Sus scrofa: one gene and its partner. The protein of the gene in region 2 purifies or fractionates together with the protein of the main gene of each other region. This does not show direct contact. Links are inferred from orthologs where the notes say so. Each region holds a gene or a part of one and is shown on either strand. Other genes may lie near its edges.

What was found.
Region 1: the proteins of DHX9 (region 2) and HNRNPA1 purify together in Homo sapiens (affinity purification with mass spectrometry; 7 studies listed by BioGRID and IntAct, with this or other methods). This does not show direct contact. The link is inferred for Sus scrofa from reciprocal best matches to the Homo sapiens genes DHX9 and HNRNPA1.

Annotation. Positions count from the first base shown.
Region 1 is NC_010447.5:19,483,780-19,487,976, reverse strand, and holds the start of HNRNPA1 (heterogeneous nuclear ribonucleoprotein A1), read right to left. Parts: upstream 2,801-4,197; coding exon 2,786-2,800; intron 2,241-2,785; coding exon 2,124-2,240; intron 1,831-2,123; coding exon 1,684-1,830; intron 1,554-1,683; coding exon 1,343-1,553; intron 1,252-1,342; coding exon 1,159-1,251; intron 1,074-1,158; coding exon 981-1,073; intron 872-980; coding exon 797-871; intron 523-796; coding exon of another isoform or gene 364-522; intron 1-363. UniProt on the Homo sapiens protein: Involved in the packaging of pre-mRNA into hnRNP particles, transport of poly(A) mRNA from the nucleus to the cytoplasm and modulation of splice site selection.
Region 2 is NC_010451.4:124,139,365-124,145,557, reverse strand, and holds the start of DHX9 (ATP-dependent RNA helicase A), read right to left. Parts: upstream 3,630-6,193; 5' UTR 3,472-3,629; intron 585-3,471; exon of another isoform or gene 579-584; 5' UTR 557-578; coding exon 446-556; intron 1-445. UniProt on the Homo sapiens protein: Multifunctional ATP-dependent nucleic acid helicase that unwinds DNA and RNA in a 3' to 5' direction and that plays important roles in many processes, such as DNA replication, transcriptional activation, post-transcriptional RNA regulation, mRNA translation and RNA-mediated gene silencing.

The sequences.
Region 1 (4,197 bases), on a different chromosome or scaffold from region 2:
ATTCAGTTGAATAATCCAGTAGCTAGAAATTTACCCCTGACTCACCATGGTAGAGCAAGTAGTATAGTCTCTAGCCTCGAAGGCTGTTGTTACCCATCCAGGGGCACCGCAAACACATGCTGGATACATCAACTAAGTGCCTAAATAAAAGCTAACCTAATCCCGATTAACTGTAGGCACCACTATCCCCCTTAATCTATTTGGGAGTGAGGCGGCCCCAGCTTAAAGCTAGGAGGAGGTAGCATTGCAAGCCCATTAAAAGAAAGTACCATGCAGTAAAACACATTATGCCTAGAGAGCATCAAGTTCCCATATGGCTAAGCTAGCTATTTGCACCAAGTACTTGGATCACTGGATACCTACCACTACCACCGCCAAAGCCGCCTCCGCCTCCTCCGTTGTTATAGCTGTCATAGCTGCCACTCCCGCCATAGCCACTGCCCTGGTTTCCATAACCCTGTCCACCACTTCCATAGCCTCTGCTTCCTCCAGAGTAACCAGGGCCGCCTCCTCCATAACCACCTACAAGAATACAATTCTTCTCAATAAGACACAAGTATTCAACATTCAAATTCTGTGCAAGCATGATGGCTAAAGGCCGGCTCACAACATGCTGTAAGAGTCAAACTTGAACTTATCATGCACTAAAGTTTTAGTATCTACTAGCCTATTCTAAAAGTAGTCAAACTTTTTACCTGTAGTTTCTTAAAAAACAAAAAAATCCAACAACAAAACGAACTAAAAAAACCCACACACGCACACACAAAATTTTAACAGTAAAAACAAAAAAACTTACCGTCATTACCAAATCCATTATAGCCATCCCCACTGCCACCATATCCACCACCACCACGACTGCCACCAAAGCCACCTGGAACAGAATTTAAAAGCCAGGTTTGAAGTATGTGGATCGCATACAAATCACACCCTTCTAAGCCTAAATTCTAAGAAGCGTTAAAATAATAAAAAACCATACATACCTCGACCACTAAAGTTTCCCCCACGACCAAAGTTGTCATTTCCACCAAAACCACCTCCACGACCACCACCAAAGTTTCCAGAACCACTTCGACCTGAAGAAAAAAATGTTAACGTTAAATTGTACCGGTTAAAATCATTCAAAATGATGCTTAAGGTTTAATTAAGCAACAAACTCACCTCTTTGGCTGGATGAAGCACTAGCCATCTCTTGCTTGGATAGGGCTTTCCTCACTTCACAGTTGTGGCCATTCACAGTGTGGTATTTCTGAACTGAAAAATTTGAAAGTAAGACACCATCTCAGAGTTTAGGACACAAATGGATTTCAGAACTCTTAGCGAATGCCAACCACCTGCTACTTACTGACAATCTTGTCTACGGAGTCATGGTCATCAAAAGTTACAAAAGCAAAACCTCTCTTTTTGCCACTGCCCCTGTCCGTCATGATTTCAATCACTTCGATTTTCCCATACTGTTCAAAATAATCTCTTAGGTGATGTTCTTCAGTGTCTTCTTTAATGCCACCAACAAAAATCTTTTTCACAGTTAAGTGGGCACCAGGTCTTTGAGAATCCTAAAGGGGGAGAAAATAGTAACAATCCTAAGACCATGTTAATACTAAGTCTGTTACATCCCCTTAATGTGAGTGAATCCTGCTAATCGAACATTTCCAGTCGATGAAACACAAGAAAAACATCACTTACTTCTCTTGAGACGGCCCTCTTTGGTTCCACAACTCTTCCATCCACCTTGTGCGGCCTTGCATTCATGGCTGCATCCACCTCCTCCACAGTGGCATACGTGACAAACCCGAAACCTCTGGAGCGCTTGGTGTTTGGGTCCCTCATTACCTTTAATGTTTATTTAGCACATGGTAAGACACCAGAAGTTACAGCCTTTTCTACCTTGACTAAGGCAATGGAAAACTTTCTACCAACCCTCTAAACGAAGCTCTTCAATGACCACCGCCCCCACCCCTTAAACCTAACAATTGGGAGCTTTTCAGCTATGAAGCCACACCTTCCTTTGTCAAGTAAGCTATAAAGTCAATAGGAATCTTCATAAGCATTCAAACAGCAACGACAGCGAGATAAGCCAAGAAAAACAACTAGCTCTAAGGCCTTTTGTCTCTTCCAAGTCTTACCACACAGTCTGTGAGCGTTCCCCATTGCTCAAAATGGCTCCTCAGACTCTCATCGGTTGTTTCAAAGCTCAAACCTCCGATGAAGAGCTTCCGCAGCTGTTCGGGCTCTTTGGGAGACTAGAAGTAGGGGCAAAAAAAGCGTTAAATAGGGCTATAACGCAAACAAGCTCCCCGCTACAAGAAGCAACACCAGGTAGCAACGTACGAAGCTTTTATTGTTCCCTCGGGTCGCTGTAAGCCACGTGCTTCTCCCCATCTGGGGAGGCGGTATGTTGGGGGCTGGGAAGCGGCGAGCGCATGCGCCCCTTACTCTCCCTACGACGCACGCGCAACAAAAGGACTGGGAGGGCGTGCATCGCCAAAATTGGACTACAGCTACTCTTTAAGAAAGTCGTCCACTAGGACAAGGATGAAAAACAGACCGAATGTGTCCACGAGCATTGCAAAAAAGAACGAGAGCAGCGTGATAACCAAGGATTGCACGACGACAGCCTCATGGCGACGAGGACAAAATGGCGACCTGAACTCAGGGAGGGGTAGGCCCCGGCAGCGACCGAAGAACTGCCGAAAAGGCTGGTGCAAGCAGCCAAACCAGACTGCACCCTACCAAACTCAGCAAGCGGCGAAGAAGAAAACGCAGATGAAAAAAGAGTCTCACTCACCTCTGACTTAGACATGACGGTAGTGGGGAGGAGGTTACAACGATGCTTACTCGGCGGCGTCCGGGGGCAGAAAGGAGTAATCTAACGAACGAGTCTGCCAGCCTACCTTCGGCCTCGCTTTTTTATCCCGCCTCCTCGCGTTCGGCATTGGTAGACTCCGCCCCTGAGTAGCTCTGATTGGATATTTGACATAGCTTTCCCCCACTATTGGTCTCTCGTATGCGTTGCTGTGTAACGTCATCCGTTTGGGCGTTCTACGCAGTCTCAACCCCTCCCGGTCCATTGGTTCCTAAGTAATATTATTCTTAACTAGACTGATTGGCTGGTCAACCAATGATTCATATTTGAATTATTTCGGGTATTGAGATAACTTTTTAATTAGCTATGTCCGGAATATTCAACGCCTGTGTCAAAGCATTTTTAATACTATGTATCAAAAAAGTAGCTAGCATGTGACAATTTGGCGGAACGGGGGCGGGGGCAAGATCGCCTGCTGAGCGCATGTGTAGTAAAATGGCGAGTTTACGCAGGCGCGCTAAGAAGTTCCGCCCGGAGCTTGCAACACGTGAAATGGCGGGCAGGAGACAGCGGCGAACCTAAGGCGCCTGCGTAGTGGCGGGAGTTGTGCCCCCTTTTGCGCAGGCGTAATGGGCGGGGAAAGGGTCGGGTCCCAGGATTGGTCGCGCAGGCGCAGGGAAGGATCCGTTTTGGCGGGCGGTTGGCGTTGCGCAGAAGGCGGCGGCGGCGGTGGCTTGTGGTCCGGCCGCACCACAGAGGAACAGGCGAGGCGTTAGCGTGAGTGATCGGTCTCGACCCCCGGTAAGTGGCGGACCATCTTGCCTACCCATACGAGGTCTTGAACTGACTCCAACTGGGCCCGTTATTGTGTGAAATGAATGGACCTCGGGGTGGGGGCTCGTGAAGGGGGAGCGGTGAGATCGGCCAACCAATGGAAGAACGGGGGCGGGATGTTTTATCCCCGTAGGTTCTGTGGAGCTTTGCAGCGGAAGAGTTTGACTGGCGAGTGTATAGGCCAATTGGGGCTGTCCTTAGCTGCCGACTCATCGGTCCTTGGGCCATCGGTATGTGGGAGGCGGGCTTTCTCCTCCTGAGCAGCATCTCACTGAGCCAATGAGCACGAAGCGCGCGGTAGGTTGGGCTCCTCCAAGAGGCCACGATTTGACTCCAATGGGGGATGCGGGAGTTGGGCGGTTAGGTGGATGGACCAAATCGGGAGCCAGTAGGCGAGCAGCCTCTGGAAAGCGCTCAGGCTGTTCGTCCAATCAGCGCTCCAAAAGAGGGAGGTCTTAGATTTGGGGATGCGAGGAAGGGGATTCAATGCCTGTGATGGCGCGTAGGGGCTATTTTATTCACAATGACTTTAACAAAACCTGTGGGCCTCCGTGCCACAC
Region 2 (6,193 bases):
GGATGCAGGTTCAATCCCTGCCTGGGACAGTGGGTTAAAGGATCTAGCACTGCCGCAGCTGGGGAGTAGGTCCAAACTGTGACTCTGATCTGACCCCTGGCCTGGGAACTCCATATGCCATGGGGCTGCCAAAAAAAGGAGACCAAAACCAAAAAACAAATATTCCCCAAACCCCAAATAACAAAAATCAAACCAAAAAAACCCCTGTAACTCACTAGTCCATCAAAGGATAAGTTAACTTTTGAAGATATACTCTACACACCCTGAAAATAACAGCCCTAAGAGAATTCATGGGCTATCTTATAAAATAACAGGTAAATCACAAAAAGAACGTTCCCTGCCCTGAAGTACAACACATTAACATTTCCAAAGAGAAAATACTATTCTTTTAAAACCAAAACAAGCCTCAAAAGTCACATAAATGTAAGCAGTAATTTTTTAGTACCTCGCACATGAATTTCTGCCTGTTTTTATTCCCCACTGCTCTAATTTCATAGGATGGAGTCATCTTCCTTTTGCCACACCAGGCATACAGAAAATTTTTAACATCACCCATGATTCAAGAGTCTTCTTCAGACCTAGGAAAACAAGTTAGTTAAAAACAGCATTATTTATAAGAGCAAACACTGAAAATTACTAATCTGGAAATAATCAATAACAAGAATTTACTGAAAATCTAGGTTAAGTACAGAATATTCTATCATGCTGCTATTAATATTAATATTGCCTGTGATGAAATTTTAATGACATAGGCAAATAATTGGAAAGTCTGAGACTTTGTTTTGAGAAAAAGCAGAATACTAAAGTATGATTTGAGTGACACAAAAGTATGTATAAATCAAGACTGGAAAAGAAATATCCTCCCAAATGGTTATCTTTAGATATCTACAAGCGATTTTCGTCTTTTCTTTAAAGACATTTTATGTAATGTCCTACTTTTTACAATATTCGCTTTATGTGTTTTAACTAATTTAATCCTCACAACAGTAGGTAACACTATAAACTATAGCTTCTACTTTACAGTTTTTTTACGAGCAAGACACTAGACATAGAAAGTTTCAGTAACTTTTTCAAGTTACTCACTGTAGAAGGCCTAAATTCAAAACCAAACCAATATATTAAGAAATAGTCATCTGAAAAAGAATGGGTGCATTTTTTTTCATGCATCACTGAATCATTCTGTCGTACAGCAGAAATTATCAAATTGTAAATCAACTATACTCCTTTAAAACTTAATTAAAAAAAAAAAAAAGTTCCTGCTGTGGTCACTGGGATCACAGGTTCAATCCCTGGCCCAGCACCGTGGGTGGATTAAGAATCCGGCACTGTAGGCACTGCCGCAGCTGTGCCCTAGGTCAAAACTAGGGCACGGATATGATCCCTGGCCTGGGAACTCCAGATACCTCATGGCAGCCTAAATAAATAAATAAATGGAGAAACAGCCTTCCATCATTTTGTATATAAATCCAAGAGTTTATCCTCATTTGGATTATGTCTCCTAGAAGACCATCTGCACAGCAATAGGCAATGTTATTAAGTCCAAATATATTCTGTGCTAAATCTTTCCTTTAGGCCTTGTTACTCATTAAATTTGAGGCTATTACATTTTCCTTAAGTGCAACCTATCATAGTGATTGGCATTCTCCCTCTACATCAGTTTATAGCAAAAGATACGGATCCTGAGTCTAAATTACACGCAGAGGGATCTGAGACCAAATTCAGAACTGGAGAAAATATGCTAAGAATTGTTTGCTGTGATGTGGGAAGAAACCCCATTAAGCCTCTGTCTTCCGTTAATGTTTAGTGCATTTTGTTAGCACCTACATCTAGTTTCATCAAACTGAACCCTAGTACAAAAAGGCTCTTCTGTAGTCACAGGTTAACCCTGGGGATAACCGATTCATGAAAAGTTGTGGAAAACTGAAGATGTCTACCTACAAATTCCAACCATGAATAATTAATTTTAAAAACAAGCCCTCAGGGTGAATGGAAAACATGAAATAAGGACTATACTATCAAATTCCTTCCTCCCTAGTCTTATCTAACGCCATCATATTAAATATTAACTATAGACTAATGCTATCCAAATATACATTGAAAGTTTAGTCTTTTCTCTTTAAAAGCTCCAAAATCAAGTTCATCCATCTGCAGCACTTATGTATCCACCTGAATGCTAACATGGCATCACAGTTAAAACACAATTTTAAATTTCCTCCCTAAACCTGTTCCTCTTCCCTCTAATCCCAGTGTTCCCACCTCCTTAGGCGGCACAACCATCCACCAAATTACTCCTATCACCCATTTGGGACTTATCCAGTCCCTCAACATCCTCCATAACCATCCGTTGCAGTCTTTATTATGTACCAATCAGTATCCGTTAAGGAGCATTGCAGCAACTACTTCACTTAACCCATACACGACACTGTATAGCTAAGCATTATTACAGGTAAGTAAACTGAGAGAAAGAATAATTTGCCTCAACAGACAGAGCTTCTAATTGGGGGACCCAAAATTCCAACCCAGGTAGTCCTGATCTACTCTTGACCTAAGGCTCACTTTCGCCTCCAAACATGATTCCAATCTGTTCGCTTCCCTCCCCTCTCCCACTACTGCAACAGCTGGAGTTCAGCAACAAGGTCCTAAATAATTCCCATTTCCTTTGTAACCACGCTAAAATCCAATCTTCTTTTAAATTCTTCTCACCACATTCCAGTCACGTGGCCTTCTTTCAGTTTCTTTCTAATCCCTGCCAGTAAACACTAACTAATCCCCCTCCGCCTGGGGAGTTCTGCTTTTCTTCCACATCTTAGTAGTCGATAATCTCCACCCTTTGGGCGAGACGTCGGCTCAAATGTCTGCCTCCTCCGAAAAGCCTTCCCTCGCGCCACCCTTCCGGAAATGGCGCCCTTCCTTTACACTAAATCCTCCAAGAGCTTTTTTACCGAAACCAGCACTTGTTTCCACACGGCTCCCCACCCCCACCACGACCCCAACCTCTGAGAGAAAAGAGCAAGGACTGTGCCTAGCCTGTTTTCTGCTCTATCCGCAGAGGCCGCAGGGTACCACCCGCTATTTTCGGCACGCAGGCCTGCGTGGACGAACGAAGGGCCCTAAGCGTGGGCGGCGGTTTGGCGGGCTTAGCTCCCCCCACCCCGGGCCGATTCAGTCCCTTTCACTCTACGGCGACAGCGCCACCGCCAAGCGCAGGCTGGAAGAGGAAGTGGGGTTTGGCCGCTCCGGAGACGAAACTAGGCCTGCCTCCGCGAATAACTGGGGGCCAAATGGCGGCCTCAGGCAGCGCAAGCGCGGAGCGGCGTCGCAAGCAGCACGCAACCCGCAATCCGGGAACCCAGCGAGGCGGCTCTCCCCTCCCCCACCCGCCACCGCCGCCAGCTCCAGGCAACAAAGACCCGCTGCAGAACCCCGGGGCCTACGCCGTCCCAACCGGTAACAAAGACGTCTTCCCCTTACCGGAGTCCGATTCTTTGTGCCCGAGAGCACAGCTCTCTCAGGAACGTCCCTGGCTCGGGCCTTAGCGACGGAGACCAGACGAGCGCACCACCACTCGCACCGAGGCGGCGGCGAAATGGCTCCGACCGCTACGCTGTGGAGGCGGAGTCAGTGTGCTACGCATGCGCAGAAGGGGAGCGTGGGGCCAAGGGCGCCCGGAAGAGGGGCGGAGCTGCCGCAACCACGCGACGGGCAGCGTCCAGTCGCCTGGGAGATCCGCCGCGCCCTAGAGCGGCGCCGGGGCGGAGCTTCCTCCTTTGGCGCGAGGCCTCCTCAGGAGGGGCCTGCCGCATGTTTTTGGAGAATGTTTTGCACCTTCTGTCATAGGGACCTGTGGTAGATGAGGTGCCCCACAAAGACACAACTGGAAATCCTAGGTGGTAGCTTTATAGGGTTGTTGGTGATTAAATGAGATGGCTTAAAAAATAGAATAAAATAAATGAGATGGCTTGCGAAGGCGGCTTAGGGCAGTACCCAGCACACAATAGTTGTTCAGTAGGTATTGTAGTGATTCGGCTCCTCGAAGGTTAACATCCCCTAAATAGAAGTAAGCTCGGTGAAGGCGGGAACCCTGCCTGGCCAGCTCAGGCCGCTAAATGAAGTACTTGGCACATCAAGTGCTCAGTAATAACTAGTTTAATAAATAGAAACTGTAAAGTTCTTTTTGCTCAAATTGGATAACCTTTTGTATTCATAGTCTTCGGAGTAATTTATATCCTTAACTATTATAGTAGTCACTGCTAAATTTTTGAACTCCAGTGCTTCTCACGGAGGCAACAATACAAAATATTTCAAGCTGGGGTTGTTCCAGAGAAGCCAGACCAGTAAAGTATCAGGCCCCATCGTACCTAACATCCTTATTTTTCACCTCTTCCCTTTTTTTCCCCTAACTCTTCTAGCTCACTGTGATTAATCCCTTTAAAACTCTGTTTCTTCTACAACCAGAGTAACACAGATTAAAACATTTAAGTTAAACAGAGGAACGTATTTACTCATTAACTTATTTTCTCCATGTTTGCTCTCTTCAACTAGGAATAAAATCATCAGGGAAATACCTTAATCCTTTGTTTCCTTATCTCTCTCAGGATGCTTAAATCAGGAAGTTTTCATGATAAGGGAAACCCAACTAACATAAATGGATTGCAAATGTTTTGTAGTAGATAATGTACACACCAAAAACATCAACAAATTAAGTATAAAGAATATTTTCTGAGGTCGATCTTTGGCTCCCAAAGATTACAGAGAATTTTATTACTGAGTTGTTTATTAATTTAGGCCTTGCATCTGGGACCTTGAGTTGCCAGGGGATTGGATGCCAGCAATGGCATTTACCTTTGTAGGTTGTCCTTGGCAACTAGTACCTTCTAAGATCTCCCTTAACATTTGCAGATGAAGCATCAAAACATTCTCCATGAGTTCCCTGGTGGTTCAGCAGGTTAAGGATCCAGCACTGCTGCTGTGGTGTGGGTTAATCCCTGGCCTCGGAACTTCCACATGCCAGGGGCACAGCCAAAAAACAAACAAACAAAAAATAAGTTGGGAAGTTCCTGCTGTGGCTCAGCAGTACAACCATTCTGAAAAGAAGTAAGGTACTATTTAGTCAAATAGGGTGGATAAAATCAAACAAGTCTGTTTCTTGATGTATCTGTATATACACACATACATACATATGTATGTATTTTTTAAACAAAAAATATTGCCCACCATTCCAGTTCTACAAAGTCATTAGCCACTGCAGTCACCCATGGCCCACTGACAAAGTGTCCCGAGGGGGAATTCAGGATGGAAAAACAGCAAGTACTCTATTCTGTACTTTGGATATGCAGGCCTCTAGGTAGTTAAGATGTCTATCTAAGGAAGAATCTCAGTGACCCCAGATTCTTGCATCTTCCCATATAGAGAAAAGTATTAAAATCCTTAACTTGAGCAGTCTATTCTTTGAGATAATCAGTGATTTTTTTTTTTTCACAGCCCCACCTGTGGCAAATGGAAGTTCCCAGGCTAGGGAGTGAATCCGAGCTGCAGCTGCAGGCCTATGCCACAGACAGGGCAACAGTGGATCCTTAACCCATCTAGTCAGGCCAGGGAATAAACCCACATTCTCACAGACACCATATCAGGTTCTTAACTCACTGAACCAGAGTGGGAACTCTATTAGCAATAATTTTTTGATGTCCGACTGCAGGTATTTACCTAGCCCCCAAAAAATCATAAATATACTGGCTCCTTCCCTACATCTTTGGAGCAGTTTCTCAGAGCTGAGAGGCTGTCTCCCAGGCTGCAATCCCCAGTAAGACCCTGAATAAAACATACCTCACAACCCTCACAGTGTATTTTTTTCTTTTAGTTGGTATATGTATCTCAAGAAATTCTTGAGTAAGATATGTTTATTATATTATTTGTGTTGGCCTGGAGTTGGAGGCAGCTTGAGAACTCCTTTGATAGATAAAAGGTAATGGATGTTAACCAATGAATCCCATGCAGCAGTTATAAGAAATGAATTGGATAGTGGATATATATAGACTTTAAGGGCCCAGGGATAGTGAAAAGGAAAAAGGGAAAAAAAGTTATCTTAAGGCATATATCTAATTTTTTTTTTTTTTTTTTTTGGTCTTTTCAGGGCCACACCTGCAGCATACGGAAGTTTCCAGGCTAGGGGTCAAACTGGAGCTGCAGGTCCTGG